4 linked regions of the Notamacropus eugenii genome follow. The main gene of each other region encodes a partner of the protein of the gene in region 3 in a complex. Links are inferred from orthologs where the notes say so. Each region holds a gene or a part of one and is shown on either strand. Other genes may lie near its edges.

The links.
Region 1: CHCHD3 (region 3) and MICOS13 share a complex: the UniProt entries of both Homo sapiens proteins name them as parts of the mitochondrial contact site and cristae organizing system (MICOS) complex. The link is inferred for Notamacropus eugenii from reciprocal best matches to the Homo sapiens genes CHCHD3 and MICOS13.
Region 2: CHCHD3 (region 3) and APOO share a complex: the UniProt entries of both Homo sapiens proteins name them as parts of the mitochondrial contact site and cristae organizing system (MICOS) complex. The link is inferred for Notamacropus eugenii from reciprocal best matches to the Homo sapiens genes CHCHD3 and APOO.
Region 4: CHCHD3 (region 3) and APOOL share a complex: the UniProt entries of both Homo sapiens proteins name them as parts of the mitochondrial contact site and cristae organizing system (MICOS) complex. The link is inferred for Notamacropus eugenii from reciprocal best matches to the Homo sapiens genes CHCHD3 and APOOL.

Annotation. Positions count from the first base shown.
Region 1 is NC_092875.1:73,701,617-73,709,105, forward strand, and holds the start of MICOS13 (MICOS complex subunit MIC13), read right to left. Parts: upstream 3,034-7,489; 5' UTR 2,746-3,033; coding exon 2,717-2,745; intron 1,787-2,716; coding exon 1,612-1,786; intron 1,166-1,611; coding exon 1,114-1,165; intron 1-1,113. UniProt on the Homo sapiens protein: Component of the MICOS complex, a large protein complex of the mitochondrial inner membrane that plays crucial roles in the maintenance of crista junctions, inner membrane architecture, and formation of contact sites to the outer membrane.
Region 2 is NC_092876.1:453,112,416-453,119,931, reverse strand, and holds the start of APOO (MICOS complex subunit MIC26), read right to left. Parts: upstream 3,237-7,516; 5' UTR 3,172-3,236; coding exon of another isoform or gene 3,163-3,171; intron 1-3,162. UniProt on the Homo sapiens protein: Component of the MICOS complex, a large protein complex of the mitochondrial inner membrane that plays crucial roles in the maintenance of crista junctions, inner membrane architecture, and formation of contact sites to the outer membrane.
Region 3 is NC_092874.1:116,872,881-116,880,747, reverse strand, and holds the start of CHCHD3 (MICOS complex subunit MIC19), read right to left. Parts: upstream 3,169-7,867; 5' UTR 2,944-3,168; coding exon 2,863-2,943; intron 1-2,862. UniProt on the Homo sapiens protein: Component of the MICOS complex, a large protein complex of the mitochondrial inner membrane that plays crucial roles in the maintenance of crista junctions, inner membrane architecture, and formation of contact sites to the outer membrane.
Region 4 is NC_092879.1:79,746,915-79,754,482, reverse strand, and holds the start of APOOL (MICOS complex subunit MIC27), read right to left. Parts: upstream 3,261-7,568; 5' UTR 3,159-3,260; coding exon 3,144-3,158; intron 1-3,143. UniProt on the Homo sapiens protein: Component of the MICOS complex, a large protein complex of the mitochondrial inner membrane that plays crucial roles in the maintenance of crista junctions, inner membrane architecture, and formation of contact sites to the outer membrane.

The sequences.
Region 1 (7,489 bases), on a different chromosome or scaffold from region 3:
TTTCTGTAATTCAGATCTCTTCCTTCCCCCTTCCCACCAACCTGGTGTCAATTAGTTAGGCCCCGAGGGCATCAGATAAGAGCTTCTATTTCCTTTAGTTCCCTTCAGCCTCTAAAATAAGGTGTAATCTCCGTGTGGCATGTGAAGCCTTCACAATCAGCTTCCAACGCCTCTTTTCAGGCTTACTATCCATAAGCCGCCTTCACACACTCAGCATTCCAGCCAAACTCACCTTCTTGCTATTCCTCAAACCCAGAATCCCATCTCTCACCTCTGTGCCTTTGCTTAAGCTGTCCTTGACCCCTGAGCTGCCAGCCCTTTCCCCTCCACCTCTTTGGGTCCCTGGCTCCCTTCCAAGCTCAGCTCAAGAGCCAGCTCCAGAGGCCTTTCCTAATTCCTTCTCCCTCTCCCCCAGTGATCGTCCACTAACTTTGTATGCTTTGTATACGTATGTCTTATGGGTGCTGTTTCCCCTGACAGAACATAAACTTCTTTTCAGAGCAAGGACTGCTTCATCTTGTCTCTGTATCCCCAATGCCCAACATATAGTAGACACTTAATAAATGCTTGTCACTTGGCCCGTGTTTGACTCCACAACCGACACTTAATAAATAGTCACAACGACTTTCCTCACTGAGGCCCATTCTACAGAATACAGAATTCCAGGTTAACGGTCAGGACTCTGTTGAGTCAACCAGCCAAACAGCAAGCATTTGCCAGTGACATACAAGGGAATTTTGAGTAAGTCCCTTCCCCTTCTGGGCCTCATGTTCCCAATCTATAAAATGAGGTGGCACTGGACTAAATGATCTCTGAGGTTCCTTCTGGCTCTGACATGCTACAAGTGTGGGTGTTTGGAGAGTGGCTCAAATGCCCCCTACTCTGTGTGAGGAGCCCACCCCTCAGGGTTAGTCCCATGGCTAGTCATCTGTCCCTCTGCCCTCTGATCCTGCCAATGCAGGGAGCTCCTGGGGTGGAGGGATGGGGAAGAGGCCAAAGGTGGGGGGCTAGGCCTGGTGGTCCAGAGAGCAGGGAAGTGTCTGGACAGCAGCATTCCTCCTCAGCAGAAGGGCTACTGCTGCAGACTCTGCGTAATAGAGCCCATGGTCCTACCTGAGTTCCAGTAGTCTCGAAGGTTAATGTTGAAATATGGAGTGGGTGGGAGCTGAAAAAAGAGGAAAAGGAGCATCAATCACCTGCTCCAACATCAGATGCCCACCTCCCTGCTCTGCTGGGGAGGACAGTGGGGGGCCTACAGGATGCAACAAAACAGGGCTCAAAGTCAGAGGCTTGCTCTGAGCCTGGATCCAGGACTTCATCAGATAACCAAAATGAGCCCGAAACCTGGCCCAGTCAGAGCTGGAGTCACAAAATGAATGCCTTCAATCACCAAGGGCTTCATGAAGGTCAGGTGAGAGTGCCCAGGTAGTTCAGACCAGCCTGTCCTCACCCTGCCCCCCCACCCCATCCCACTGACCAGAAATGTTATTACTTTGTCCCAGGAAGGGCAGACACTTTCCCTTTTCCTAAAAGCTCATCTCCTCTGCCTTCTGCCCATGAAGTTCTGGACCAATCTCCACCCCTAACCTTCCCCCCCACCCCTCGTGGTACCTCCAACCGGAATCCCATGTGCTTCGAAAGTAAGTCAGAGTAATGGGTGAAGGCGCCTGGGATGGCCTGCTGCGCCCTCCGCAGGGCAGCCTGACCCTGGTGACTGGACCCCAGCAGCCCCTGATCGTAAACGAAGTACACGGACCCACCGGCCAAGCCGGCCTTAATGAAAAACCTGGGGGAATGGCGAGAGAAGAAACGCTTGGTGGGATGCTCACAACACCGAGACTCTAACCTAGATCCCTGTATCAGTTTACCGCAGATTCCTCCTGTGGCCCAGGGGCCGGGTCCTAACGCCAGGCCTCAGTTTCCCCATGTGAAAACCAAGCAAACCAGGGGGCTGGTCAGACCTTCCAGCTCCTTTCCGCCCGGGCCTGGCAGGGGCGGCATCACTTTGGGTTTCTTCTCTGCCCGCCCCTCACCCCCATGGCCGTCCTCTCCCTTCAGGCTCGCGGAGGACAAGCGGCTCCTGCCCTCCCCCAGAGGGGCTGGAGTCTAATTCCGGCAGTGCCCATTGCGGCTCCCTGCGGGGCAGAGACCCGGAATCTGGGGGGAAGGGGGAAGACGAGGGGAGCGTCCGGTCCGGGTCGTCACTTCCAGAGCTTTACGGACCGCAGAGCACTTTACGCAAGCTCATTTAGCCGTCTCGGGTCGTCTTTCTTTTTACGATCAACACCTAAGCGCTGACTGGCGCTTCTCCAGCCCCGGACCGGACTCCAGCCCAGCGGGCACGAGGCCCCCCGGGTCCCGCGGCAGGGCTTTCAGGCGGGCGATGCCGTCTCGCACCCAGCCCCGACCGCGGCCGGGGCTCCCAGCACCCCCATGCTACAGCTGACTGGCGAACACGGCGACGTGCCCGGGGCACAGGCCCACGCTGGCCTCCGCACCAGGGCGACGAGGCTCGGGGGAAGGACCCACTTCTCCGGGGTCTCGCCCTTCCTCCCGCCCCCAGCCCCGGCTGTCACTAGGCCTACAACGGTCCTCCCGGCCCGGCCCTGCCCGGCCCTGCGTCCAGGCTCCGGCCCAGCTCCTGGGCGATGGAGGTGGGGTACCCCCTCCCTCTCCCCCGCCCCGCGTGACTCGAGAAACGGGCGCGCGCGCTCACCCGAACACGGGCCACAGGCGGACAGCCATGGTCGCCGAGCTTCGCTGCTCTGCGGCCACGCAAGGACACAGAGCTCCGCCCGCCAGCGACCAGGTCCCCGCTGCGCCCGGGGCGGGCCCGGGACGAGAGCGCGCGAGCTCAGGCCCCTGGGAGCCGGGGGGCGGGCCCGACTGCGGCCTCTGGGAGCTGTAGTCCTCGACACAGGGAGCCCCGCTAGGGCGTCTGGGAGTTGTAGTCTTTCTGGCCTTTTCTTCCCTTCTGCTTGGGCTTCTGCTGCTAAAGGAAGGTCCCGGTGGAGTAGTCCTAGTGTGCGCTGCAGAGCTGCGGGGGGCCACGGCGGCGACACTGCCTCAGATGTTGGCTAGCCGCGTGACTTTAACCTAGTTCAGTCAGACACTTTCCTCCTCCAGAAAACAGGGATGAAGCCTTCCCAATACTATGGGGGTGAAGCAAAGATGCCCATTGTCACCTCTGTTATTTAACATTTGTCAACCTGAAAGTTTGGTTGAAGGAGGGCAAAGAGGCAGGTGGTATGTCGGTCCACATTGTTTATTCCCTTAAACCTAGCTGAAGCTAGCTTCACCTGTGCCAACAAGGAGCCAGAGCTGGAGTTCTGACTGTCCCGTACAAGAATGACCAGGCTGAAAGAAGTTTTAGAGCAATCCCAACTCAGCATGTCTGTGTGACTCAAATTTATGACCTCCATATAAGTTTAACCATGTTATGAGAAAGGAATTTTCTGAATTGAATAGGTGGTAAATACCATCAGATAAGAGAGCTGACAAAGTTTCATTTGCAATTATGATCCTGGATATCTGTGTTTTCTCTACCATTAAGATGCCATAAGCAGTATATGTCCACAAAATATTAGGATACAGGAGAAGTCTCATTATTCAAGATAGTGTCTCAGATTGAGGGTCTCATCCTTAAAAAGAGGAAAGAATGCTCTTAAGTCAACTCCATCTGACCTTGTTGACATAGAAGAAGTATTCTCTGAGGTCCAAAAGTGATATTAAATGATTATCATACTAGATAGAAATGCTAACTATAGCAATAAGAAAAGAAAAAGGAACTGAAGGAATTAGAATAGGCAATGAGGAAACAAAACTATCCCTCTTTGCAGATGATATGATGGCATGCATAGAAAATCAACTAAATAAACTATTTGAAATTATTAACAACCTTAAGCAAAGTTGCAGGATACAAAATAAATCCACATAAATCATCAGCATTTCTATTATATTACACACAAAGTTCAGCATCAAGAGATAGAAAGAGAAATTCCATTTAAAATAGCTGTGGACAATATAAAATACTTGGGTGTCTACCTGCCAGGATAAACCCAGGAATTATATGAACACAACTATAAAACACTTTTCACACACATAAAGTCAGATCTAAACAATTGGAAAAATATTAATTGCTCATGAGTAGGCTGAGCTAATATAAAAAAATGACAATTCTAAATAAATTTATTTATTCAGCGCCATGGCAATCAAACTATCAAAAATTATTTCATAGAACTAGAAAAAAATAATAAAATTCATCTGGGAAAGCATAAGCTCAAAAATATCAAGGGAATCAATAAAATAATATCAATAAAATAAAATATTTTTTTGTAAAAAAAAGTCTAGCTGTACCAGATCTCAAAATGTATTGCAAAGCAATAATTATCAAAACAATCTGGTATGAATCAGTGGAATAAATTAGATAGAAATTACATTATAATAACTGACCATAGTAATCTAATATATGATAAACCCAAAGATCCAAACTTTTGAAACAAAAATTCATTATTTGACAAAAACTGCTAGGAAAGGGGGGTGGAGTCAAGATAGCAGAGTAGAAGGATATACCTCCTTTAGCTCTCCCCTCATAGCCCATAAAATATCTGTAAAAAATTACTCTAAATGAATTCTAGAGCAGCAGAAGCCACAAAATGACAGAGTGAAACAGATTTCCAGCCCAAGATAGCCTGGAAAGCCTTCAGGAAAGGTCTATTGCACTGGGTGGAGCAGAGCGCAGCCCAGCCTGGGGCATGCAGCAGAGCCTGGATAGGACTGGAAAAAGCTTCAGGGAGCAGAATCATGGGTAGCAGTTGAGGTTCCCAGATTTCTTAACCTACAAATGCCAAAGACAGGTTCAAAGGTCAGTAAGGAAGCTCTTTCACCTGGGTGAGAGGGGAACATGGTCCTGCTCCAGCCCCAGCCCCAGGGCAACAACAGCATCCACTTTTGGAACCCTAGACCTAAAGATCCTGAAGGAATCGAGCAGCTGATCTGAATCTCAGCCCTGAGTGGCGGTCCTGGGGTGAGGTAGAGTACTAATGAGGTGGAGCTGGTGGTGGCTGTGGAGAGAAAATGCTACTCACAGTTCCAGGGCAGAAAAGAGTGCTTGTGGTTGCTCACAGACCAGAGTGCATGCCAGGATAGGAGTAAACTTCTCTCCCTTGATTGTGCTACCTTGGAGGAACTGAGAACATACAGGTCCTTAGAATATACCCTCCACTTGACAAAGGACTCAAAAGTGAAGTACCTGCTGGGAAAAAGCCCAAAAAAGGGAAAAAAATAAGACTATAGAAGATTACTTTCTTGGTGAAAAGGTATTTTCTTCCATCCTTTTGGATGAGGAAGAACAACGCATACCATCAGAGGAAGACATAAAAGTCAAGGTGTCTATATTCAAAATCTCCCACCAAAATATGCAATGATCTCAGGCCATGAAAGAGCTCAAAAAGAATTTTGAAAATCAAGTAAGAGAGGTGGAGGAAAAATTGTGAAGAGAAATGATAGTGATGCAAGAAAATCGTGAAGAGTGAGTCAACATCTTGGTAAAGGAGACCCAAAAAAAATACTGAAGAAAATAACACCTTTAAAAATAGACTAACCCAAAGGGCAAAAAGAGGTCCTAAAAGCCAGTGAGGAGAAGAATGATTTAAAAAGCAGAACTGGCCAAATGGAAAAGGAGGTTCAAAAGCTCACTGAAGAAAATAGTTCTTTAAAAATTAGAATGCAGCAGATGGAAGGTAATGACTTTATGAGAAACCAAGAAATTATAAAGCAAAACCAGAAGAATGAAAAAATAGAAGACAATGTAAAATATCTCACTGGAAAAACAACTGACCTGGAAAACAGATCCAGAAGAGATAATTGAAAAATTATTGGTCTACCTGAAAATCATGATCAAAAAAAGAGCTGAGGCATCATCTTCCAAGAAATTATCAAGGAAAACTGTCCCAATATTCTAGAACCAGAGGGTAAAATAGAAATGGAAAGAATTCACCAATCAGCTCCTGAAAGACATCTCAAAAGGAAAACTCCAAGGAATATTGGAGCCAAATTCCAGAGTTCCCAGGTCAAGGAGAAAATATTATAAGCTGCCAGAAAGAAACAATTCAAGTACTGTAGAAATACAATCAGGATAACACAAGATTTAGCAGCTTCTACACTAAGGGATTGAAGGGCTTGGAATATGATATTCCAGAGATCAAAAGAGATAAGATTAAAACCAAGAATCACCTACCTAGCAAAACTGAGTATAATACTTCAGGAGAAAAAATGGAATTTCAATGAAATGGGAGACTTCCAAGCATTCTTGTTGAAAAGACCAGAGCTGAATAGAAAATTTGATTTTCCAATACAAGAATCAAAAGAAACATGAAAAGGTAAACAGGAAAGAGAAGCCTTAAGGAACTCCTTAAAGTTGAAGTGTTTACATTCCTACATGGAAAGATGTTATTTGTAACTCATGAGACCTTTCTCTGTATTAGGGTAGTTAGAGGGAATATATGTATGTAGGTGTGTATGGGTATGTATGGATGTGTATATTATATATGTATATGGGTGTATGTATGGGTGTATGTACGTATGTACATGGGTGTATGTATGTATGTGTGTATATATGTGTATGTATATCTAGACAGAGGGCACGGGTTGAGCTTAATGTGAAGGAAGAATACATAAAAAAATAAAATTTACTGTTGAATGGAATGTACTGGGAGTAGGAGAAAGGAAGAGGTAGAATGCAGTGAATCATCTCACATGGAAAAGGGAAGAAGGAACTTTTACAATGGAGGGGAAGAGGGGGAGATGAAAGGAAATAAGTGAGCCTTGCTCTCATGGGATTTGGCTTAAGGAGGAATAACACACATTCAACTGGATATGGAAATCTATTTTACCCTGCAGAAAGACAAGGGCAAAGGGGATAGGAGAGGGAAGATAATAGAAGGGACAGCAAATTGGGGAAGGGGATAATCAGAAGCAAGTACTATTGTAGGAGGTCAGGTCAGAGGAGAGAATGGAATAGATTGAGGACAGAGGGAAATGTGGTTAATCTTTTACAACATGACTGTTATGGAAGTGCTTTGCATTGCTACACATGTATGACCTATATTGAATTGCTTGTTTTCCCAATGGGGGTGGGTGGGGAGGAAGGGAGAGAATATGGAACTCAAAGCCTTGGTAATGAATGTTAAAAGTTGTTTTAGCAAGCAACTGGAAATTAAGATATACAGGTAATGAAGGATAGAAATCTGTTTTGCCCTACAGGAAGATAGAGGGGGAAGGGGGATGGAAGAAGGCTGGGTGGTGAAAGAGAGGACAGACTGGAGGAAGGGGTGGATGGGGTGCATGCTGTCCTGGAGTGGGGTGTGGGGAGAGATGGGGAGAAAATTTTGAACTCAAATTCTTGTGGAAGTGAATGTTGAGAACTGAAAAATAAATAAATATTGTATTAAAAAGAAAACAAAAGACATTTACATGACATCTTTATTAT
Region 2 (7,516 bases), on a different chromosome or scaffold from region 3:
TCCCACTGCTTAGGCTCAGCAGACACAATGTTTGTGGACTGCCTGATTTCTCCACTGATGTTGTACTCTCAAGTTCTCTAGGTTGTCAAAGACTGTGCGGTCCTACCATGCTGGCAAGTCTTCAGGTCTGGTCTCAGTAATTGGCCCAGAGGTTCATTTTTCATAAGCAGATTAAGTAGCTAAGAGGCTCCAGAACCAGACTCATGATTCTTTTCCTTTAAGTGATTCCCAAAGTTACACTGTGACCTGGGTTCACCCAATGATATTATGGCTCCTTTGAGTGTTTTTATCAATGTGAACTACAATTCAAATTTATATGGAACTATAAATTTATGCCCCATTCTTTTCACAACAACTTTCATGAGGTAAGTAGTCAGAATCCATTGTCCATAGGCTCAGGGAGGTTAAAAGTGACTAGCTCAGTCCACAGACCCAATACAGAGAAGCAGGATTTTAACTCAAATATCTTTGTACATTTCACATTCAGCATGCCCCAAATTGGACTTGAAGTCTTTCCCTGAAAGCATCACCCTCCCCAACTTCCCGTTTTTCTAGAGCACCATTCTTCCAGTCATTTAGGTTCCCAACCTAGGCCTTCTCCTTGACTCAGAGGGGCTAAGTCTTGCCCCTTCTCCTCCATATCTCACAACTCTTATCCTCTCTCTTCACACAGCTCACACTTCACACTAGTTCACCCATATGGCTTCTCTCCTGGAAGACTTAAGAGTCCCAATCGGTTTCCCTGTATCAGTTCTCCTATTTTCCAATCCATTCTCCATGCAGAGTTGCCAATGTAATTTTCCTCAAGTACCGGCCTAACCATGTCACTACTCAAAACTTCAATGGCTCCCCAATAAACATAATTTAATGTTTAGCTTTTAAATACCTTCACAACCTGGCCTCAACCTATCTTTCTAACCGTATCATACATTATTCCACTTCCCAAACTCTCCCATCTCTGTGCTGGCTTTACCACCATACCTCCAATACACTTCTACCTCACCTCTTAGGATCCCTTGTTTCCAACTTCAGCTATACCTATTACACAAAGTCTTTCCTAATCTCCTCACCTTCTACTACTCTGCTCCTCCCTCTCCCCAATTTTGCTTTGCTTTGTGTATACCTATTTAGGTATGTTCTGCCAGGTAAAATGTAACCACCTTAAGAGGGGCTGTTTGACTTCTCTGGATCGTTTATTGGAGAGATGTGTCGAGATTCCAAAGGTTCCCAAACTTTATCTGCCTTACTGTTCCCTTTAAAAAAAAAAATTACTCAGCACCCCCCTAGAAATCTACTTTCTTTAACCCTTTAATGGTTTTCTTTAAAAAAAAAAACCACATCATTTTGAAAAACTATAAATTCTTTTTAAAAAAAGCATCATAAATTTAATAATTTATTGTAAACTTATGGTTTTTTCCTGCATTGAAATTCTGATAACACAATATTGCATTATGTAACTGTATACTATCATACTGTAAACAAGTCACTACCTGCATATATTCCTGCCAATGCGTTCCAGGCTTCCCTCACTGCCAACACTTACTTGTTAAGACCTGTCTGAAGACTTGATCACTGATCGGTTATAATTTGCATTTTACGTGTTTATTTAGAACACAATATAATTACTACAACTTTAACTATATTACACAAGAGATGAAAATTGAAAGGATTTTCAAATTTTTCTTCTCTTCTTTCCTTCGGCTTCTCTGGCTCCCTTATTTTTATTCAGTCCCTCTCCCCCATGGATCCAGCACCCCCAAGGGGCAGCATTGCCCACTTTGGGAACCTAAATTAAATAAGTGCTTAACTGATCCCACAAAGGGGTGAAATACCTCTAGGGTATATATGCCTAGTATATAATAGCTTAGCATAGAAGAATAAGAGTCCTTTCAGGACGGGCTGTTTTTCCTGTGGTCTCTGTCTTCCCTAGCACAGGTACATACAAATAACTCAGGGTTAGTGCTTAATTAACGCTTGTGGCCTTGGAGTAGCCATGAACGTTTCAATTTCAGAAGCTTTTACTCCAGACAGTGACTCAGTACCATGATGGCACTTCAGGGAGACGTGAGTTTCAGGTGTATTTTACATACATACACATACAGTTTTACATAAACATACACTATGCATGTACACGTGTATACGATATACACGTATAAATAAATATGCAGACGTATACAAACACGTGCACGCACACGCACATTTCTCTGTGTCTCTCCTGCTCAGACTAGAGAACCAAGGGCTAAACTTGCAGTCAGTAGGGCCAGCTTTTCCAACCCCGGTGTCAGTTTGTTCACTTTATAAATCCAATCAGCCCTTGCTGAACGCCTAATTGGTTCCAGCACTGGGGATAACAAAGCGAATTAACCTCAACCTTGAGGAGCTTACAATTCCAAAGGAGGGGAAATTTGTAAATATCCAGGTGTATACAAAGTAGCCGTAACAGCCAGGCACTAATGTAACCGCAACAGCTTGCATTTCTCTAGCACTTTTAAGATCTGCAGTGTTCGCACATGCATGATCAGCACAACCACGCCGAGGGATGGGTGCTATTGATTATCACCACACTAAAGTTCAATCGATCAGGGTCAACAAGCCATTCAGCGTGGGAGGCTGGCTGTGAGCTCCAGGCAGGAGGCTCCAAGCACCAAGCCGGCTAGAGTAAATACCCTGATTGGAGGGAGGGAGGGAGGGAGGGAGGGAGGGTCTAGGAAAGAGAACACTTGATCAGTATCTTAAAAGGAAACCAGGGAATCCAAGGAGGGGCTGTGATGAGCAGGGAGGGCATGACAGGCAGGGGGCACGGCCAGGGCACAGGTGGAGAGGCAGGAGGAACCGGGAGATGGGTGAGGAGTTGCTGCAAAGGCAGGTCGGGGGCTGGTTATCAGGAGCCTAACCAGAGCCCCCTCCCTCGACGGATTGTTTCGAGGCCCAAAAGAAGTAGTAGGGGCAAAGCGCTTGGCCCTCCTCCAGGCGCCGGCTCTCGACACTCCACGAGTCAGGCGTGCGCACGTGGGGGGAGGGGACTTGGGCGCTTCGAGCGCGGTCCGCCGGCCCTGGCAGCACCCGGCGCTGGGCCCCGGCGCTGGGCCCCGGGCCCTGGCAGCACCCGGAGCTGGGCCCCGGCAGCCCGCAGCGGGGGCGCAGGGAGCGACAGCTGCTCACCTTGAACATGTTGCTGGCTGCGGCGGCGGATCCGGCTTGGGGGGGGTCACCTCGGTTTAGCCCCGCCCACCGCGGAAAGGCTTTCTACGGCGGCCCGGTCAGGACAGCCTTATCCGAAGAGCGACGCGTGCGCGGAACACCTCCGGCGACCCGTAGTACAAACTTTATTGACACCTTCCGGAGCTGAGTCGTCAGAGCTACCGAGGGGGAGGGGCCTCCCGGGATTGCTAGGCAGCGGGGACAACGCGCGCACGCGCGGTAGCCGAGGCTGCTGGCAGCCCGGCCGCAGAGGCTTGAGGGGGCTGCGGGAGGGCCGGGGCACTTGCCGTCAACGTTGGTCCCCTCTGCGCCCCGGCACGAGGGGCAGATGCGGAGGCTGACGGACACACGTGGAAGAAGCTGCTCCTCGGGCTGACCCCGCGAACGCCGCCGCTTTTGTCCCCCGCCATCGTCGTCAGTTACCACCACCGAGCCTTTTTTTTGTTGATGCCCCTGGACCTGTTTTCATTATGAAATAAAAACTTGGAGCCCGTCATCTCCCACCTCCGAGCCCTTGCTTCCCTCCTCCCCGAAGCGCAAGCTCGAGGCTGCCTTCATCCATCCCCGCGCTGCCCATGAGTCTCCAGATCCGGGGACCGGACTTTGGAAAGAAGGAAAGAAAAAAAAGAGAAAAAGAAAAAAATCCCCCAATCCGGCCAAGGCGAGATCCCTCCGGTTCCGGTCGCGGCTGGCCGTGAGGATCGAGGCAGAGGGGCCCGTGGGAGGCCCCTTCCGAGTGCGGCCAGGAAGTGAGAGGTAAAGCCTGGGGGGGTCCGGAAATGTCCCCCCGATCGGGAGCTGCCCGGTGGGAGGAAGGAAGGAAGAGCCGGGTTCGAATCCAGCCTCAGACACCGGGCTGCGTGTGACCCTGAGCAAGTCACTTCACCTCCGTTTGGCCCAGTTTGCTCGTCTGGATAACGGATGATAATTGTCAGCCACATTGTAGCAAACACTAGGTTACATGGTGGCCGTTCTTAGCTTCACTGTCATTATGGCAGACACAGGCTCAGAGGGTCCTGGAAGGCCCGGAGCTCGGTGCTTCTTTATCCCTATTTTACAAACGAGGAAACTGAGGCTGGTGACTTAGGGGTGTCCAGTGGGAAGGAGGGGCTGGCTTGTTTTACTTTACTTCCCGGAGAACTGGAAGCTGTCATAGGGAAAGAAGGTCCAGAGAGGTCCGAGTTAGCTGGCGGGGGTCTGGGAGGTCCTCCGGGCCAGCCCCTTTGTCTTACAGGTGGGCTAACCAGGGCCCGCTTAAGTGGGCTGACTTGGCCAAAGTCCCATGGAATAAAGTGGCAGAGCTGGGCTATATATATAAGGGAATAATAATGTAGGTGGTGCCATGAATGGGAGGGCTGGGTTTGGAGCCAGGAATACCTGAATTTAAATCCTGCCTCAAACAGGTAATAATTGTGTCACCACGGCCAAGTCTCAGCCTCTCCCAGCTGGAGTTTGTTCACCTTAAGTTGGGGATTATAGTAGCACCTGCCTTCGGGGTTGTTGTGAGAATCAAGGTATTTGTGAAAAGCTTCTCAAACTTAAAGCTCTCTATAAATACTAGTTATTCTTCTTAGTAATAACAATGTAACAAAAACCTATTAACCAGTCCAAGCAGGCGTTCATAACATTTCCTGTTGTCCTGGACCCCGTCTTGGCGGTCTGGCCAAGCTTGTGGACCCTTCCCAGAATGTTTTAAAATACATAGGATAACCAAAGAAACCAGTCATCTTGCCATAGAAATATTTTTTTAAAAAAATAAGTTCCTAGGCCTCCGTGTTTAGAAGTGTCCTAAAGTACAATGAGTTGTTTCCAGAGCTGGCTAAGGCAGGAGGATGAGCATTTTCAGATATGTTGTTGGGATTTTCTGAAGGTATAGGTTTGGATAGCTTCTGAAGTGCAGATGCTGAAGTTCCATGATTCTGTGAAAACGAGAAATGGAAATTCATATTAATCCGTTAATATTTAGGGTGCAAGTTTTTCAGAGTTTGCTGGATTGTACCTGTAACCTCTGGTTCTAGGTCTCTTCACACGGTGATCTCCTCCGCTCTCATGGTTTCTGTTATCACCTCTTTGCATTTGAATCTCAGCTGTGCAAGTATTTTTTTTCTTGACAGATAAGTAAACGGAGACTCCAAGAAGTTAAATGACTTTTCCATAGTCATACAGCTATTAAATATGGTCAAACTTGATCATACCACTAGAAGTGCTTCCTCCTGGAATACAGACCGAGAATTTTTGACTCTTAAATATGAGGCTTTTTCCACCATGCCATGTCTTAGTCATAGAATGTCAGGGCTGGAAAGGCTCTTAAACCTCATTAATCTAAGCCCTTCATTTTACCAATAAAGAACAGATAGCATAAATGAGTTGTCCAAGGTCACCCAGCTAGTTAAAAATTAAGCAGGGATTATAGAATCTGGTTCCTCTATTTCCTAATCCAGTTATCTTATTAATAACACAGTTTGCTATTATATGAAATTCTATAAACTTAATAGCATCCTAAAAAAAATCTTTGCTTTACATTTTAAGGGTTTTGAAATTAGCATTATAATCAATATTTCACACAAGCTATCTTCACTAGGTTTCAAACAATGTAATATTATGGAAATTATGTTAATTTTCTTTGCTTTCAGATTTCTTCATTGTGAAAAATGTCTTCAAGTTCATCAGAGCTGGATGGAGACTTAGAAGATGCAGAATTAGGAACTGAATTTCAGGAAGTAAAATTGTCAGATGCTTTGCCACTAGATGACCTTAAAGCGTAAGTACTCAATTGTTGAATATGTATAAATTTTGGCATTTGTACCAGTTTCTTTGTGTCATTATCCAAGATGTTTTAAGATCTCTTGTTTATGGATCATACATTTGTTTTTTAATTAATTTTGAACTAATTTGAACTCCAGCTGTTGTGTCCATATCCATGAGGCTTAAAATAATACCTTGCATTTTTCTCATACACAGTAAGATTATGCAGCTTGATTCACATATTTACCAGGTACCTTCTACATAAAGGACACTGTACTAAGGGAGATTAAAAAAATAAATTGTATACTTCCTGATCACATACTGGGAACATGACTCATGACATCAGGACGTACACAAATAACATAGTCTGTCAGTCACGTTTATTACAATTGAGGCAAGAACCAGGACACAAAGGATGCCATATTAGTCCTTCCCCTCAAGAAACTCACATTGTAATGGAGGAGATAGCTTACGATGGGAATATACAAGATTTATATGGAGTAGATGAAAGGTAATTTCAGAGGGGAGGCAGTAACTGGAGTGAGTTAAGTGGAGGGATGTAATCAATGAAGGCCTCTTGCCAGAGGTGAGATTCAAACTGAGTCTTGAAGGAAGCCAGGGAAATAAGAGGCAGTGACGAGGGGGAAAAGTGCCCAGCACGTGTGCAGACCGCCAGGGCAAAGGCACTGAGACGGTGATGGAGGGCAGATGGACCACAAAGTCTGGATCGCGGGGAGGAAGAGTGTAAGGAGATGCTAAATGATAACAGAGGCCTTTATGTTTGATCCTGGAGATGACAGAGAGTAGCTAGAGCCTACACAGTAGTGGAGGGACATGGTCAAAACTGCTTTGAGAGGAACTGCTTTGGCAGCTGAGGAGAGGATGGATTGGAGTGGGAGAAGACTTTAGGCGGGGAGATCAGCTAGATGGCTTTTGCAATAGACTGGGCAAGAGGTAATGAGAGCCTGAGCCAGGGAGATGGCTATGTGAGGAGAAAGAATGGGATATGATATATAAAAGAAGCATTATGATGGCAGAAAGGATAAGATAGGGCAATGGATTGTTTATTTGGGGTGAGAGATAAGAGCCATTCCTTTGACACTTTGGTGTGCAGTTTAATGTTACAGCTCAGATGTAAACCTAGGTAAAGAACTTGCAGAGCTTAGACCAAGGGACCAGTGGTCAGACTCTGAGAGCACTGAAAGAAAAAAGAAAACTGAAATCTTGAGCTTTCCAGGCTGATCTCTCCCTGAGAGACTGGAATAACACGACATTCAGTCCCTCCCCCCCCAAAAAATAGCAGCAGCACCAAAGCAAACTTTCCTTCCTATCCAGAAGTGAGCCTAAAACCAACAAAGTCTGGAGTCAGAAATTAGGCTAAAATAGTAAACAAGTGAAAAAAAAAAAAAAAAGAACGTCACCAAAAAACTTCTGGCAGCAGGGACACTCAAGACCCAAACCCAAAAGAAGAAAATGTCTCCAAAACTTCTGCAAGCAAAGCCTCCAATAAAAATAACAGCTTGGGCACAAGTATTCAGCTAGAATTCTTGGAAGATGCGATGCAAGAGTT
Region 3 (7,867 bases):
TGAATATCTGGGTAGTTATTGGGATTACACACACACACACACACACACATACACACACACACATCAGACAGAGAGCACAGAGTGAACTGAATAGGATGGGATCATATCTTAAAAAAATGAAATTAAGGGGTGAGAGAGAAATATATTGGGAGGAGAAAGGGAGAAATGGTATGGGACAAATTATCTCTCATAAAAGAGGCAAGCAAAAGACTTTTCAGTGGAGGGAAAAAGAGGGGAGGTGAAAGAAAAACATGAAGTTTACTCTCATCACATTCGACTAAAGGAAGGAATAAAATGCACACTCATTTTGGTATGAAAACCTATCTTACAATACAGGAAAGTGGGGGAGAAGGGGTTAAGCAGGGTGGGGGGGATGATGGAAGGGAGGGCAATGGGAGAAGGGAGCAATCTGAAGTCAACACTTGGGGAGGGACAGGATCCAAAGAGAGAATAGAAGCAATGTGGGGCAGGACAGGATGGAGGAAAATATAGTTAGTCTCACAGAACACAAGTCATTTGCAAAACTACACAGATATGGCCTATATTCAATTGCTTGCCTTCCAAAGGGAATGGGTGGGGAGAGAGGGATGAAGAGAAGTTGGAACTCAAAAGTTTTAGGAACAACTGTTGAGTATTGTTCTTGCATACAACTAGGAAATAAGAAATACAGGCAATGGGGTATAGAAAGTTACCTGGCCCTACAGGACAAAAGACAAGATGGAGACAAGGGCAGAGAGAGATGATAGATGAGAGGGCAGATTAGTGATAGGGGAATTAGAATGCTTGGTGTTCTGGGGTGGGGGGAGGGGACAAATGGGGAGAAAATTTGGAACCCAAAATTTTGTGAAAATGAATGTTAAAAGTTAAATAAATTAATTTTTTTAAAAAAGTTGAACTAAACAGGCATGAACAGAGAGCTGTTATTCTAAAAATAATCTGGAGGTCTTAGTGAACTGAAAGTTCAATAAGAGTGAGCTGTGGTGTGTCAACCAAAAAAGCTAATAGGCTCCTGGGACCTAGCTTCCAAATATAAGGAGATGTTAGTTTCACTATATTCTGCTCTCATTAAACACCATCTGGAGTACTGTGTTCATTTTGCAAGCACAATATTTAAACAAGATATTGATAAACTGTGGTGTCTAAGGGAGGGGAACCAGGATGGTGAAGAGACTTGAGTCCATGGCATATAAGGATTAACTGAAGGACCAGTCACATTTAGCCTAGAGAAGAGAGGTATGTGATAGCTGTCTTTAAGTATTTAAAGGGCTGTTGTGTAAAGAAGGAATTAGATACCTTCTATTTGAACCTGGAGGACCAAACCAGGAGCAATAGGTGGAATCTGCAAAGAAATAAATTTAGGCTTATTAACTATAAAAACTTCCTAACTGGACATTCCTAAAACATCCAAAAGAGGAATGACCTCCCTAGAGATGTGGCAGGGTTCCTCTCCTTGGGAATCTTCAAACCAGTTGGATGACCAGTATATCAGATGTTATAGTGGGATTGTGTGTATAAAGCTGTGTATAATTTCAACTAAATGGCTGCTGAGGTCGCTTCCTTCTCTCACAATCTACGATTTCATAGTTCTGGTTCACTTAGTATGGCAACACATTCAAAGAATAAAGCTTATAATTATCCAACTACTTATATAACTTATTTTCTGGTAATCATTTATTAAAAGATAACACTTTAATAAATCTGGCTGGTTCTGCAACAACAGAACAAATAAGGGTGTGTTTACATGTATAGCTATTATTACAACATTCTTTAAACATAATTTCATTTGTTAGTTTTAGACATCCTACTTCCAAAAACAAGTGTGATGGATAATGGGTGAAGTTAACAAGACTATACCCACCCTAAGGGACTGGTACACCATTTACCTTCATACAGGAATAATACAAATCCCATTCTAACATTTATCTGAAGCTGATTCAATATTTTTTACACAAATTTAATGTTTCGTTTATTTTTAACATCCTTTTTGTAAAATTATGAGTTCTAAATTTTCTCCCTTCTTCCCCTTCCCCACCTACTGAGGTAAGAAATGTGAGATCAGCTATAACCAAGAACATGCTTCCACAACAAGCTGATTCAGTCTTACGCTACACTAACAGACACTTGCTCATTACACACCAACTAACTCCCTGGGCTTCTTAGAGTGATTATAAAAAGGTGAGGGAGGGAGGGAGGGGAGAGGTTGAACGAGCTGGTGCCAGGTGAGAAAAAGGGCAGGGGAATAGGAATCCGAGCAGATCTGCCACCTGTGGAGCTTAGACAAGTCACTTCTCTAAAGAAGGACCGGTTTTCTCCTCTAAATAAGACAGAAAGGAAAGTAAAAGGAAGCAACACGAGAGAGCTGGCCCGACAGGATGGGAGGATCTCCAGGGTCCTTTCCAGCTCCAGAGTTCTCTGACTATAAGGAGGTAGGAAAAACCAGACCCCTCCAACCCGCAAAGACACGGGCACAAAGTGGCGCGGGGAAGGGAGGCACGTGGTGCCAGGGACCCTGGTGACCCGGAGGAGCTGGGGCAGGGCGGGAAGCCTGCAGAGGCCCAGCCTGGCAGTCAAGGTCCCGGGCTGGGAGCCTCTCGGAGAGGGCACGCAGGGCTCTGGCTGCTCCGCCAGGCCCAGGAGAAGTGAGAGGCAGGAGGGGTCTCCGACCAGCCATTTCCCCTCGCTGAGCCTCAGTTTCCTTATCTGTTAAGTGCGGTGACTTGGGATCTAAAGATCCTTCCAGACCAAACTCTTGAAGTCCGCAGCCCCTTCCGGGGATCCTCGGCCACTCTGACGTGGGCTGGTCTCGGGCCTCGCTCCAGAGACACAGGCCCGGGAACCCGACCCCGCCGCCCCCTCACTCACCCGGATGCCCTTCACCACCGTGATGTTCTCGTTCTCGTCCGTCTCGAAGGTGACCCGCCGGGTGCTGGACGTCCCGCCCATGGCTCCGGCTCGCACTGTGGCCCTGCAGCAGCCGAGCGGCCCCGATTCCCGTCCAGTACGCACGCACCCCCACCGCCGGGAGCAGAGGCCGCCCCGGGTCCCCCTTGCCCTTGCTCCTTCTCCGCGGGTGAGACACGGGCCACCCCAGGGACAGCGGCAAGGAGACAGCGCCGGGCTCTCCCCTCAGGATCCTTCCGGTCATGCTCAGTAGCGAATAGATGTTCTATTGGTCCGCGGGGCCAAAGACCCGCCTCAGCTCCTTGCAGGGGCCCGGATAATTGGCCACGGATCCGGATGCTATGGCAACTCGTCAGAAATGAAAAGTTTCCGGAACCCATGGGTGTGATGGGATTTGTAGTTTGGCGAAGAATGGTGGGTATTCAGGCCTCTTTCCACTTAAACGAGAGAAGAACCAAGTGGGGCACGGAATTCTGGGATTTGTAGTCTTACAGAGCCAGAAATTAACAGACACCTGCAAGAACAGCTCCTTAGCCTTAAAGAGCTGCAGATACAATAACCCCGCTTATTTTACATTTATTTTTGTTGTCGTTATTCACTCGTTTCAGTCATGACTGATTCTCCCCCCATGTGGAGTTTTCTTGGCAAAGATACTGGATTTCCTTCTCCAGCTCATTTAACAGGAGAGGAAACTGAGGCAAACTGGGTTAAGTGACTTGCCCAGGGTCACACAGCTTGTAAGTGTCTGAGGCTGGATTTGAACTGATCTCCCTCACTCTGGGCCCGCCACTCTATCCACTGTTGCCCTTATTTACCGTAATTTCATATACTCTGCCATCCTTTCCTCCTCTGTACTTTCATTCATTCAGTTCATTCGTTGGTTCAGCAAGCATTCTTAGGCCCTTATCAATCAAGGGGATGATTCTCTGGATTAGCAGGTGAAGAGCAGGGGGTGGGAGGGACCTAAGCATTTCTGTGGCAGCTACTGTGCTAAAAACTTTTACAAATATTATCTCAATATTCTCACAGCAACCTTGGGAGACAAATGCTATTACACTCCTTTTACAGCTGAGAAAACTGAGGCAGAGGTTAATACACTACCACAGCAGCTCCTTTGCTCTTTAGAACAACCTACTATGTGCTAGGCTGGCGTCTGGGGACTCAAAACCCAGAAAGGAACAGTTACAGGCCTCACAGGCCTCGAAAAATTTGCATCATATTGGAAAGTACAATATATAGACAGATAAGTGCATACAAAATATGCAAACTAATTGTGATTGGGTGGCATAGTAGGGCGTTGACAACTGGGGAGTTCTGTTCAGTTGTACACAGGGCACTGTTCTAGGCAACGGAGAAACCAAGACCAAAAAAAAAAACCAGTTCCCACTCTTAAATAGTTTACATTCTGTTGCAGGAGATGGATATAGCAGCTCTATAAAGTCTGCATAAAATTTTAGAAAGTGACTTCAAGAAGGCTGTGAGGTCGTAGGAATGGATACCTAAGCTGTGCTTTGTACAGAAGCTGGGAATTCTAAAAGGCAGATTGAAGAGGTAGAGCATTCCTGATAGAGGAAACCATCTGTATAAAGGCAGGGCAGGTGGGAGGTGCAAGGTCTACTACAAGAGATAGCTAACCAGTCAGCTTGATGGAAATAGTGCAAAAAGAGGAAGGATATGAAACCACTAGCATGTTTAGATGGGATCCAGATTACATAAAACTGTAAATGTTACATGTGACTTAAGGAAGAACATAATTGTATTTCATACAGTAATAAGTAATTACCTCATTGTAATGTAAGCTTATGGCTTTTTATTCTTTGTATTTGTGTCTCCAGCACCTAGCATAGTGCCATATTGGTTGGTTGGTTGCTGTCCTTGGTTGCTGAAAGTACCCAAAAGGACATCACTATGCTAAGTCAAGCTTCAATCTGTCCAACTAGAGCTGATCAGACCAATATGGACTCAGGTGCTTAATAAATACGTGGTGTTTGACCGATGGAGATTGTTGAAGGATGACATGGTCAAGTAAAAAAATTTTAAGAATGTGGGAGATCAGGGCAGCTAGGTGGCAAGATGGATAGAGCACAGGCCCTGAAGTCAGAAGGAACTGAGTTCAAATCCACCCTCAGACACTTACTAGCTGTGTGACCCTGGGCAAGTCACTTAAACCCAGTTGCCTCAAAAAAAAAAAAAAAAAGAATGTTCCAGCCTTGGTACTTTTGTGTGGAAAAGAAAAGGAGCCGATGGATATGGACAAATTAAAATGAAGGGATGAGAAGGAATGAATGGGAAGGCAAGGTATCATAGGGAAAGAAAAGAAACAAGTAATTCCATATCACCCACTATGCTAAGCATTTTACAAATGTTATCTCATTTGATCTTCACAAGGTAGGTGCTTTTATTATGCCCCCTCTTTTGCAGTTGAGGAAACTCAAGCAGAGGTTAAGTGATTTACCCAGGGTCACACAGCTAGTGTCAGAGGTTAGATTTTAATTCAGGTCTTCCTGACTCCAGGCACAGTCCTTTATCCACTTTGCTGCCTAGTAGGCAATTAGAAGGAATAGGATTAGAAACACAAATGGAGAAGTTGGCTTTGGCATCAAAGACCAGAACGTAGAAAATGGTGTATCAAGGATGTATCAATCAACCAGCAATGATTTATTAAGTCCCTATATGTGCCAAGCACTTTGGAAGAAGCAGAGGAAAAAAGGATGGGCTCCATTTTTTTTCTAGTAAAATAGGAGGTGAAACCTGCTAAGAAAGAGATGAGAGGAGGTATGGGAGGTGGAAGGAAGCTGTGTGGAACAACTGGTATAGAGAAAGTGATCAGTCAGGGAATAATAAAATGATTGTGAGGCCACAGTAATGGAACAGTTGAGATTACTTATCCTGCATTTGTAGTGAACCCAATCAGGTTGGTTGTATGTGTTTTTTTTTTTTTTTCAGGAATATACAGAAGCACATGAGTAGAAGAGAAGCTAGATGGTGGGGGTGATCCAAAGTTGACACTTTTCAAGGCATACCTAGTGATAAGAGGGTAAGGAATCCAAGAATAACTGCCTGAAATGGTCAACTGGGGGATCTATACTGAAGATAGAGAAGTGAGGCTGGGTAGGAATAGGATGGTGAGACTGAAGGACATGAGGAAAGCAAAGAATAGTTTTATGAGGGGTGGGGCAGGGAAAGAGATTGAAGGAAAAGAAGGGGTTAGAGACAGGAATTTCAGAGTTCTGGATCACAGAGGTGGAACCGTCATGGGTGACCATCAGATCAAGCACAAGACTATCCCTATATATGAATGCAATGGAATGAAAGTGAAAAATAGGAGAATTTAGGAGACTAATTAACTGGGAGGCGGGTGGTTAGGAAGAAAGTGAACAAATCCAGGATGAGGGGAATTTGTTAATAACATACAATACTGTGGAAGTCACAGGATCTGACTATGGATCCCATCTCACTGCCTATGTGACCTTGGGCCCCAAACAACCTCCCTAGGTCTTAATTTTCCCATCTGTGAAATAAGGAGCTTGGATTAGAAAGTTTGTAGGATCTCTTCTAGCTAAATGAAGGTGATCTATGAGTAGAGCCAGGATTCTAAAGTTTGCTATGGAACAGAAGGGTGGAAGAGGATGTGGACTGTGGAAGGATAGAGCTAAGTGGGAAATGAATGAGAGGAGAAAGAGAGAAAGGATGGAATGAGAGGAGCTTTGCTTCAGCAGATGCTGACTGTAAATCATAGGAAATAAGAGAAAAGTAAACTGGAAATTTTGTCAGCTCGAACATAAAGAATGATCAATGGAGAGGGGCAACCAGACCGCTAGACTCTAGTTAGGCGATGCAATGGAAAGAGCACTGGGCTTGGAGTCAGGAAGACGAGTTCAAATCCAACCTCCGACACTTACTAGCTTTGTAACCTTAGGCAAGTCACTTAACCTCTGTTTGCCTCAGTTTCCTCAACAGTAAAGTGGGGATAATAATAGCACCTACTTTCCAGGATTGTTCTGAGGACCAAATGAGAGAATAATTATGAAGCACTTAGCACACGCCTGCACAATTATTGTTGTTATTGTTGAATGATTATTTATTAGCTAAGTCTTAGAGAGGTGCCTGAGGTTCAGAGAGAATAAGTGACTTCTCCATTATAAGCCCAAATCTGTAAGTGTTAGAGGTGGGATTTCAACCTAGGTCTTTCTGAACCCCAGTCCAGCATTATGCCATGCTACCAGCCCCCTACCTGGTACTTCAGCTTATTTGTGGTCATATCATCCCATCCCATCCCATCCTCCTCCCTGACAAGATTGTAAACATTTCCTTGAATCTTATTGCTAAAAAAAGAGTGTCCCCATGGATGAAATCATGATTCGATGAAAATATTTCAGTATCTTTGAATTGGGCAGCTCATTGTATACAATCACATTTTCCCAGACCCTTTATTTTTTTTACTTTTTGTTTTACTGATGCTTTTTTTTTTTGCATTGCTGTCTAATCACCTTCCCTTAAACTATTCGTAATAACAAAGAATTACAACAAGGCAAAACCCAGAAACACATTGGCAAATATCTTTCAGTATTCTGCACCATATTCTACTGTCTCTCTGCAAAAGAGAGGTATGTTTGATCATTATTCTTCTGGAACTAAGATTGATAATTGCATGTATCTGAGTTCTGATTCCTTTTAGCACAGGTCATTCATCCATATATCAAACTTATTAAATTTCATTAGCATGACATCCGAGATCATCCACAATCTGACAACCCTCTACTTTTCTTTTCTTGCCTGATATCACTCCCCTCCACAAACTCTACATTCCAGACAAATGAGGCAATTCTCTGTGTTTCCAACATGTCCTGTACTTTCATACTTCCAGGATGGATGTGAAGTTCTCAAGAATGGCATTCTGAGAGAATAAAGAGAAACAGATCTGATGAGGATGGAAAGGAAAAGCTGTCAAAAAATATCAATGTGG
Region 4 (7,568 bases), on a different chromosome or scaffold from region 3:
CAAATGTGTAGTGAATAAAGGCCAAATTCTTCAGGCAGGAATTAGAAACCCTTCACAATTTGGCCTCAACTTACCTTTCCAATCTTACATTATTTCTGCTAAACTAGAATACATTGTCCTCTGGGATTTGCCCACTCTTATTTTTGACCTTAAACCTGGAAATAAAGTACTGCCTCCTCTATCTGGGTCAAGAGAATTTTTCTCCAACCCTTGCTTGCCAGCTTAGAAATTGCTTCCTTAATGAAGCCTTAATCTCCTCACAAAAAATGATCTCTGCATCCTCTCAACTGAGAGAATTTTGTCCCTATCTTGCGTCTGTATGTTTCAGTATAATTTATATTAAAATATTCATGGAACACTGGGTGGGCGTGTCTTGGAGGTAGACCGAGTTACTATCAACTTGAGAGTCAGATGTAACCCACATACTGAGACTTTGACCTCCTCCACCCTAGGAACACTGGAAAGAGGAGGTTTAAAATCTTTCCCCACTGTTCTCTAACATTCTGGAAGTTAGTTTCTTTATCACCCTACTTGCACGTTTTCCAGATGTGTAAATATAGAATTGTTCTGTGTTTCACTGCCTTCTTTCTTTGGAATGCAGAACACCTCTTACCTCTGCTAGACTAAACCCTCCAGGCAGGACCTGTCTTATTTATCTTTGTACCCAAAGCATCTAGGACAACGCCTTCCTTGGAGACCTAAGGTGCTTAATAAAATGTTTACTATTTGCCCCTGAAAAAACACTTGCTAAATTGAATTAAGGAGGCTAAGACTGGCCTCAATTGCCTGTTTGTGTATATTGCCTTTTACTCCTTATTCAGGGGGTTTGGTGAAAAAGTGTTAGGGAGGAATGCAGCTTGCTGCCACCTTCTTTCAATCCCACTGTCATCAGAAAGCATTTAAGACGTGCCTCTAGTGTTGCTTTTTTAAGATTATCCAACTAATTTTCTTTTGAAAACTGTATTTTCTGTACCCTGCCTCCCAGTCAGTCATAAATCAAACTGCTGAGAGTCAGGAAGGGAAAGAGGGGCCTGACTATGAGATCTACCAAAATGATAAGATCCCACCTATACTCTGGGGAAGGATGAGAGAAGGAGCCAACATATGTACCAAGCATGAAAAAGTGACTTGAAGACAGAAACTCTGGCTTCTTATCCCAACTGTGAGCCTGGGCAAATCACTTCATAACGTTTGTAACATGGGGATACCAATACTTGTCCTACCCTACCTCACAGGTTTCTGTTTTTTTTTTTTTACTTTCTGAACCTTTTAAGTGCTATAGAAAAAAATGACTAATTTCAGCACACTTTGTTCAGCTCTAAGACCAAGAGATCAAAGCAATAGGTTAAGCCTTTTAGTTTTTGCAAGCTCAAAGTTCATCAGCAAACTTTTATTATTTGCCACGGAGTACAACTTGTCATAAGGATTTTAAGCATTAAGAGTCAAATCCCAATTTAAATGACAATACTTTAATAAAGTATCTTTTTCACAGCAACACTAGAAACACCCCCCCCAGTCAATAATCACATTGGTTGTTTAAAATTTTCACTAACAGAAAACACTTTCATGATTCTGAAATGCAACAAATTCATGTAAGCTTTAACATATCGCTGTAAAGGACCACCATATACAAGTACAAATAAGACAGACATCATTTTGAGGAGCAGTTGAATCTTTGACAAAACAATTTTTAAACCTCAGATTTAATTTACCAATATTTAGCCACATCCACAAATACGCCTAACAATAGTTTGGTCTACAAAGACTGCCTTGCAGAGGCCAGAGTAAAAATTTTGATGAAATATTCAGATCATTACTTTACGGAGTAAAAGAACATTCAGGAATGTTTACAAGATTTGGCCATCTAGACGTTATCGCTCATGTTTTTATGACTGATTACACTAGAAATATGGATGGTTAACAGTGCTGTGAAAAACCTTGTCAAACAGGAAAAGTAACCCTAAATTCAGATGTACTGAAGTACAAGAGCATTCAATATCTGGATTTAATTTGTCTGGGTTTCAACTAACAATCATATTTCAGACATAAAATTTTTAAAAAAGAGAACAGTCTTGAATTATGAATTTGACTGTTTATGGAGAAAGGAGAAGGGGGGAAAAACAAGGGAGAGACAGTAAGAAGGGTGCCTCTTAAGTGTTACCAAAACTTACCAGACTTTATTTGTCCCCAAACCAGTCCAGGTTTTTGCTTTGAGGGAAACTGCCCAATGACTTGGGCAGGCAGTTTATATATAAAGATGATCCTGATAATACTATAACAGGTGTGTTCTGGTGAAGAAGCTGATTCCCCATGATATGGACCCCGAAAGAGGGCCTACGTACGCAGTTGTCAAAATAGTGTATGGCGAGCCCTCCTGCTGTAAACTTAGGCTAGGTCCACAGCAAGAAGGCGGTGTGAGCGAGTAGAAGGAGATGATCCGTGTGAAACCCTGCTTGGGTCACTTACTATCTGTCACTGCGACCTTGCGCAAGGCCCAATCTCTACCTCCATTTTCCTTATCTCTAAAATGGGGGATAACATGAGCTCAGTGTAAGCTCCCAGGATTAGGGAGCAGTTCACGGAAGCAAATGGCTTCCCAGCCACAAGGTTCTCCAGAAAAATCTCAACTGTGCTAATGGACGAACGGCGAAGTCTCCCTGCAGGCTGTCTTCCCCGAAATAAACCCCACCCAAATCGTAGTCGCCGGGTGCGAGGTAACCCCCTCCCAAAAGCGCGGCGGGGATAGGCTGACTCATGGTCCCAATGGTCTCCCTTTCGCTCCTCCCCCAAAGCCAAGCTCCGCAAGGCGACAGTCTGGTGTCCACTCTCTCCTCCCAGCCTCCATTGCCTGGGATAGTTCAGCTGTGGGGAAGTGGGAAGTGAGGGATGCACGGGGAAACTGGGAGCGACGCCGACTCCAGGGTGAGGTGGTTCCCTCGGAGGACAAGGAGAATGGGGAGAGGTCAAGGCCAGGGAGCGGCTCCCCACCCCACCCCCACCCTCGGAGGCCCGCCATTCAAGCTCCACACGCCTCGCCTCGAGGGCCTCGCCCGCCCTGGGGCCTTGGCTCTCGGACCACGCCCCGGCGGGGTCTCTGGGCCCCGCCAACAAAGCCAAAAGGAGCAGAACGGGACAAGACTCACCCCCGCAGCCGCCATGTCCGGGTGACTCCCTCCTCTCCAGCCCGGGCTTCCTGTACGGGGAGCCGAGAGGGACACGCCGGCTACTCTCTGGGCTAGGCCCCGCCCTCTGGTCCCCTTCCCCCCAGCCTCCCCACTTCCGCCCTGCCCTTTTCCTCCCCCATCCCGCGCTGGGCTGCTCAGAGCCCACGTGGTTAACCATTCAGCTCCAGTCCCGGAGTCAGGAAAGGAAGAGGAAGCCTGAGAGTGCTCTCCATTTCCCTCCATGCCACCTTCTCGGTCCTAGAGAAGGCAGCCTGGCAATGGGGCTTCCCTCGTTGGGCTCAAGGAGTGGGTGCCCTTATTGTTTGCCCGCTTCTGGGAGCCAGCCTTGAGCTTCGGTGCCAGGAGGGCGCTAAATGAGCCCTAGGCAGCTGGTTCCCATCGGCGCTGATAATGTTAAAGTTGGTCCCTGGCCTGCGCCGGTGGGGCTTCTGGCGGGGCGGGGCCTGGGGTGGGGCGGGGCCCGGGGAGGGGCGGACCTAGCGGAGCCGGCCGCCCTCCCACTCAGATGGGGTGGGACTCCCACCCTAGCTGGGCCTTCTTTTTTTGCTCCTAATGGTTCTTCTCCATCTATGCTCCTGAGCAGTCCTTAACTCCTTAAGGCCCTAACAATAAGCACCTGGCGTTTGTCCGCTGGCTTAAGAAATGCAGGTGGCATGGGATAGGATGGGATTTGTAGGCCCGAATTTGCTCGGCCTTTGTAGGAAAGAGAACGCATAAAAGGCTTGTTAGAGCTGCTAAAGAAAAGGTTGTGGCATTCCACACTATTATGCCTGAGGGCAGACTTGTTGTTAGGCGGAATGGTCCCGTCAATAAACCAAACCAAGGCAATTAGTCCATTCTGTTAAACTTGGGGGAAAGTAAAAGGGAAAGGGATCCAAATTCTGGGGTTATTAGAGACGGCTGTATTTAGTGCCTGGACAGCTGGGTCCAAATTCCACTTCTGATCCTTACTAGCTGTGTTACCAAGACCAAATCACTTACGTTGTCAGGGCTTTAGTCTCCTCGTCCAAAAAACATTGATAGTAAGAACTGCACTGCCTACCCCACGGAAGTGATGTGAGGACAGCACTTTTCAAACCTTGAAGTGCTAAATAAAACAAACAACAAAGGGAGTTATTATTAGGTGTGCGGTGAAAAGGAACGTAACGTTGACAGATAACTTAAAATGAGGGGCCCTGGGAGGTACTCAAACTACCTAGCCACGTACTTGGGGTTACAGTTTGGATTGGTTTCTGATTTTTGGAAAACCGATTACAATGGAAACTTACAATTAACCCCCTAAAACAAAAGATTTCTTGAATTTATGGAGGTGGAACGTTTCCTTCAAAAGCACGCAAGCTTCATTTTGGGGACACTTTGCTTTTGGAGAAAAAAGAACCAGGTGCTCTATTTTTTTGTTGTTTTCTTAATATTAGGGCGAGGGCGGCGGCAGCGGCGGCAGCGGCGCAACTACGGGGCTGTGAGCGGTGCGCCCAGAGGTACATACCCAATGAGCAGAACACACAGTGACGATACCGAGTCACGAAATTTTATCACACACGAAAGTTAACACTTTAATCTGTGATAGAAAACAATACAGCCAGTTACAACACAGAACTCATTTGAAGAGCAAAAAGGGAAAATCACCAACATTTAAAGCCTATATAATCTTAGTGAATAACTGTCAATACAGTACAAATACAAAATCAAGAATACTTTAAAGTTTTATCCAGGGGTTGAAATTTACTTTTTCCTAAAACCAAAGCGATAACATTTTCCTATCTCTGTAGCATCTACACCTTCTAGGATTCTGTTTCTTACTGTCTGGAGTATGGAATTGTGATGGTGTGTTGAGAAGAAATATACCTTGAGATCATAGAGAGATGGAAACTTTATGAAATGTATAAAGACATCATCAAGAAAGTGTATGATCCGAAGAGGATGCAAACTGGTCATGTGGTGAAAGTGGAATAACAGATGGACAGTTCGAGCGCTGCATTTGGACCAATGAAATGTCAGAAGCACTACAGGAAGGCTTCCAATGAATTGGATAGATCCAGGATGAAGGATTTATGAAAGGACTAGAATGCCACAGGAAGAGAAGGCATGGATGGGTTACAATTTGTACGGGTGGAAGGAAATGCTCATATTGATGAAATGGATCAAGAGAAGAATTAAAAAATGTATACATCCTAGCTACAAAAGTTAAAATTTCTGTTGGTTAAAGAAATCCGAAACTTTATGAAATGTTGTATTAGCCATGTTGAAAAGATAATACAAGCCAAGTCTCTCAGTTAGCAAAATCAGATGATTTGCTGTCTTCTTTTTTCATTCATAGCTGATGAGATAATGAAAGGAGATCGGTTTGAAATATCTGTAGTGTGAAAACAGACAAAGTAAGTTTGAAAACTGAGAATTCAAACTCTGTTGTTTTTTTCCCCGCGAAGTTTTTGTTAATAAAACTACTTTAAAAGCCACATATTGTGCAGTTAAAATGGACAATGACTCAAAAGAAAAACAGTCAATGAATCAAAATGATATTACACAAAAATCAGTTCTACTATATATGTATATGTACATCAGGGGTTCTTCACCTGGGCTCTGTGAACTTTTTTTTTGAAATGTTTTGATGACTGCATTTCAATATAATTGGTTTCTTTTGTAATCATATATTTAGTTCATTTAAAAGCATGATTCTGAGACTAGGTCCATAGGTTTCACCAGATTTATAAAGGGGTCCACGACACATAAAAGGTTAAGAACCCCTGATGTATATGTATTTATGCATATACATATTACATATATATAATAATCCTTAAACAAAAATGTCTACAAATCATGAAGTCTCCATGATCCTAGGTGCCACAGACAGATCAGTAGTGGTAAGAATAGTAATAGTAGCAGTGTGTAATCGTAATAGCAGATTTACCTGTTGTTAGAAACAGTCCTGATGAGAGACAAGTGTGGTTTGTATTGCTACAGAAATAGTGATAATGGTGTTCATTTGGAAGAGGCCATAAAGACCTTCTTAAGTTAGCAGGTTTCCCATAATGTACTCTTGGAGCTTTCTAAGATTGAATTGACTCTACAGGTTGAAATCCATTCTCAAGTGTGGTTTCTAACCCCTGAATAAACAATATTATTGTAGTCCACATCATACTTTATGTATGTAAAGTGTAAACCATACCACACAGGTGCCATACATTTTTACACACAAACATTATTTCTAAGCAGGTTCCCAATCTGAGCATGTCACTTATTTAATAAACTAGGCATGATAACAGGACTTCTCTTTCAAATACAGCATCATCGTCAAAAGTAAAATGTTTCTTAATACCACTGCATGTTCTCTCTCTCTCTCTCTCTCTCTCTCTCTCTCTCTCTCTCTCTCTCTCTCTCTCTCTCTCTCTCTCTCTCTCCCCCCCCGCCCCCCTCAAATCAGTTGAAATGCTTGGGCTTCTTAATAAGGAATCCTTAATGAATGCTAAGCCTATACAGCATAGCAGCTTTCACTGAGTTCCTTGGAGCAGTGACTAGGATTGAAATTTGGGTAAGAAAGATTTGTTTTCTAGTCACTGGTGATAAATTAATCCAAAGAATCAAAACATGGAAATGTCCAATTATTTGAAATATACTGAATACAGTTACAACACACACACACACACACACACTCACAAAAAATTTGTTTGACCTTAGGTGTGAGTAGGTAAACTAAAAAGATGACATTTGTGAGAAAAGTCTACAATAAAATTAGGTAACTTTATGGGCATTTCTAAATCAATAATAGTTCCTCAATGATTCTTCCTGCTCACATACTATAAATTTCCCTTACTGCATATATACTGGCATCAACACAAATTGCATAGTATTCAATAATATTCTTATAAGTGCAAACCATTCATTGTCATTCTTAGTCTGAGAATTCTACAAATTCAGGCTTATTTATTCCTACTTGGACTCATATTAATAAAAGCTATGAAAGTTTCTGGGAAATGATGAAATATAGTCAATGTCTTTATTATAGACAAATTTACTTTGCTATTAATGAGTTAGTTGATGAATCCATAATATCAGCCATTAAAATTTCAAATATAGCTTATTGTAACATTAACTTTTACTTTGGATGCTAGTATGAAAAGTTAATATTCTATTGAAATATTTTTTATTCCAATATAGGTATAAATAAAGAGGATTTGAGTCTTAGACTAGAAATACTGGCTGAATTAATGAAATAGTTATTACAGGAGGTTCAGACTAAGAAATTGGTAGCATGTGACTATTAATTTTCCTAGAGAATTTAAACTATATGTAATATTTTAGATGAAAAATGTCTTATCAAATTTTTTAAATGGGGAAAAAACCCTTCAGATTCCTATGAGAACTACTTAAAAGTTTAATCTTCAT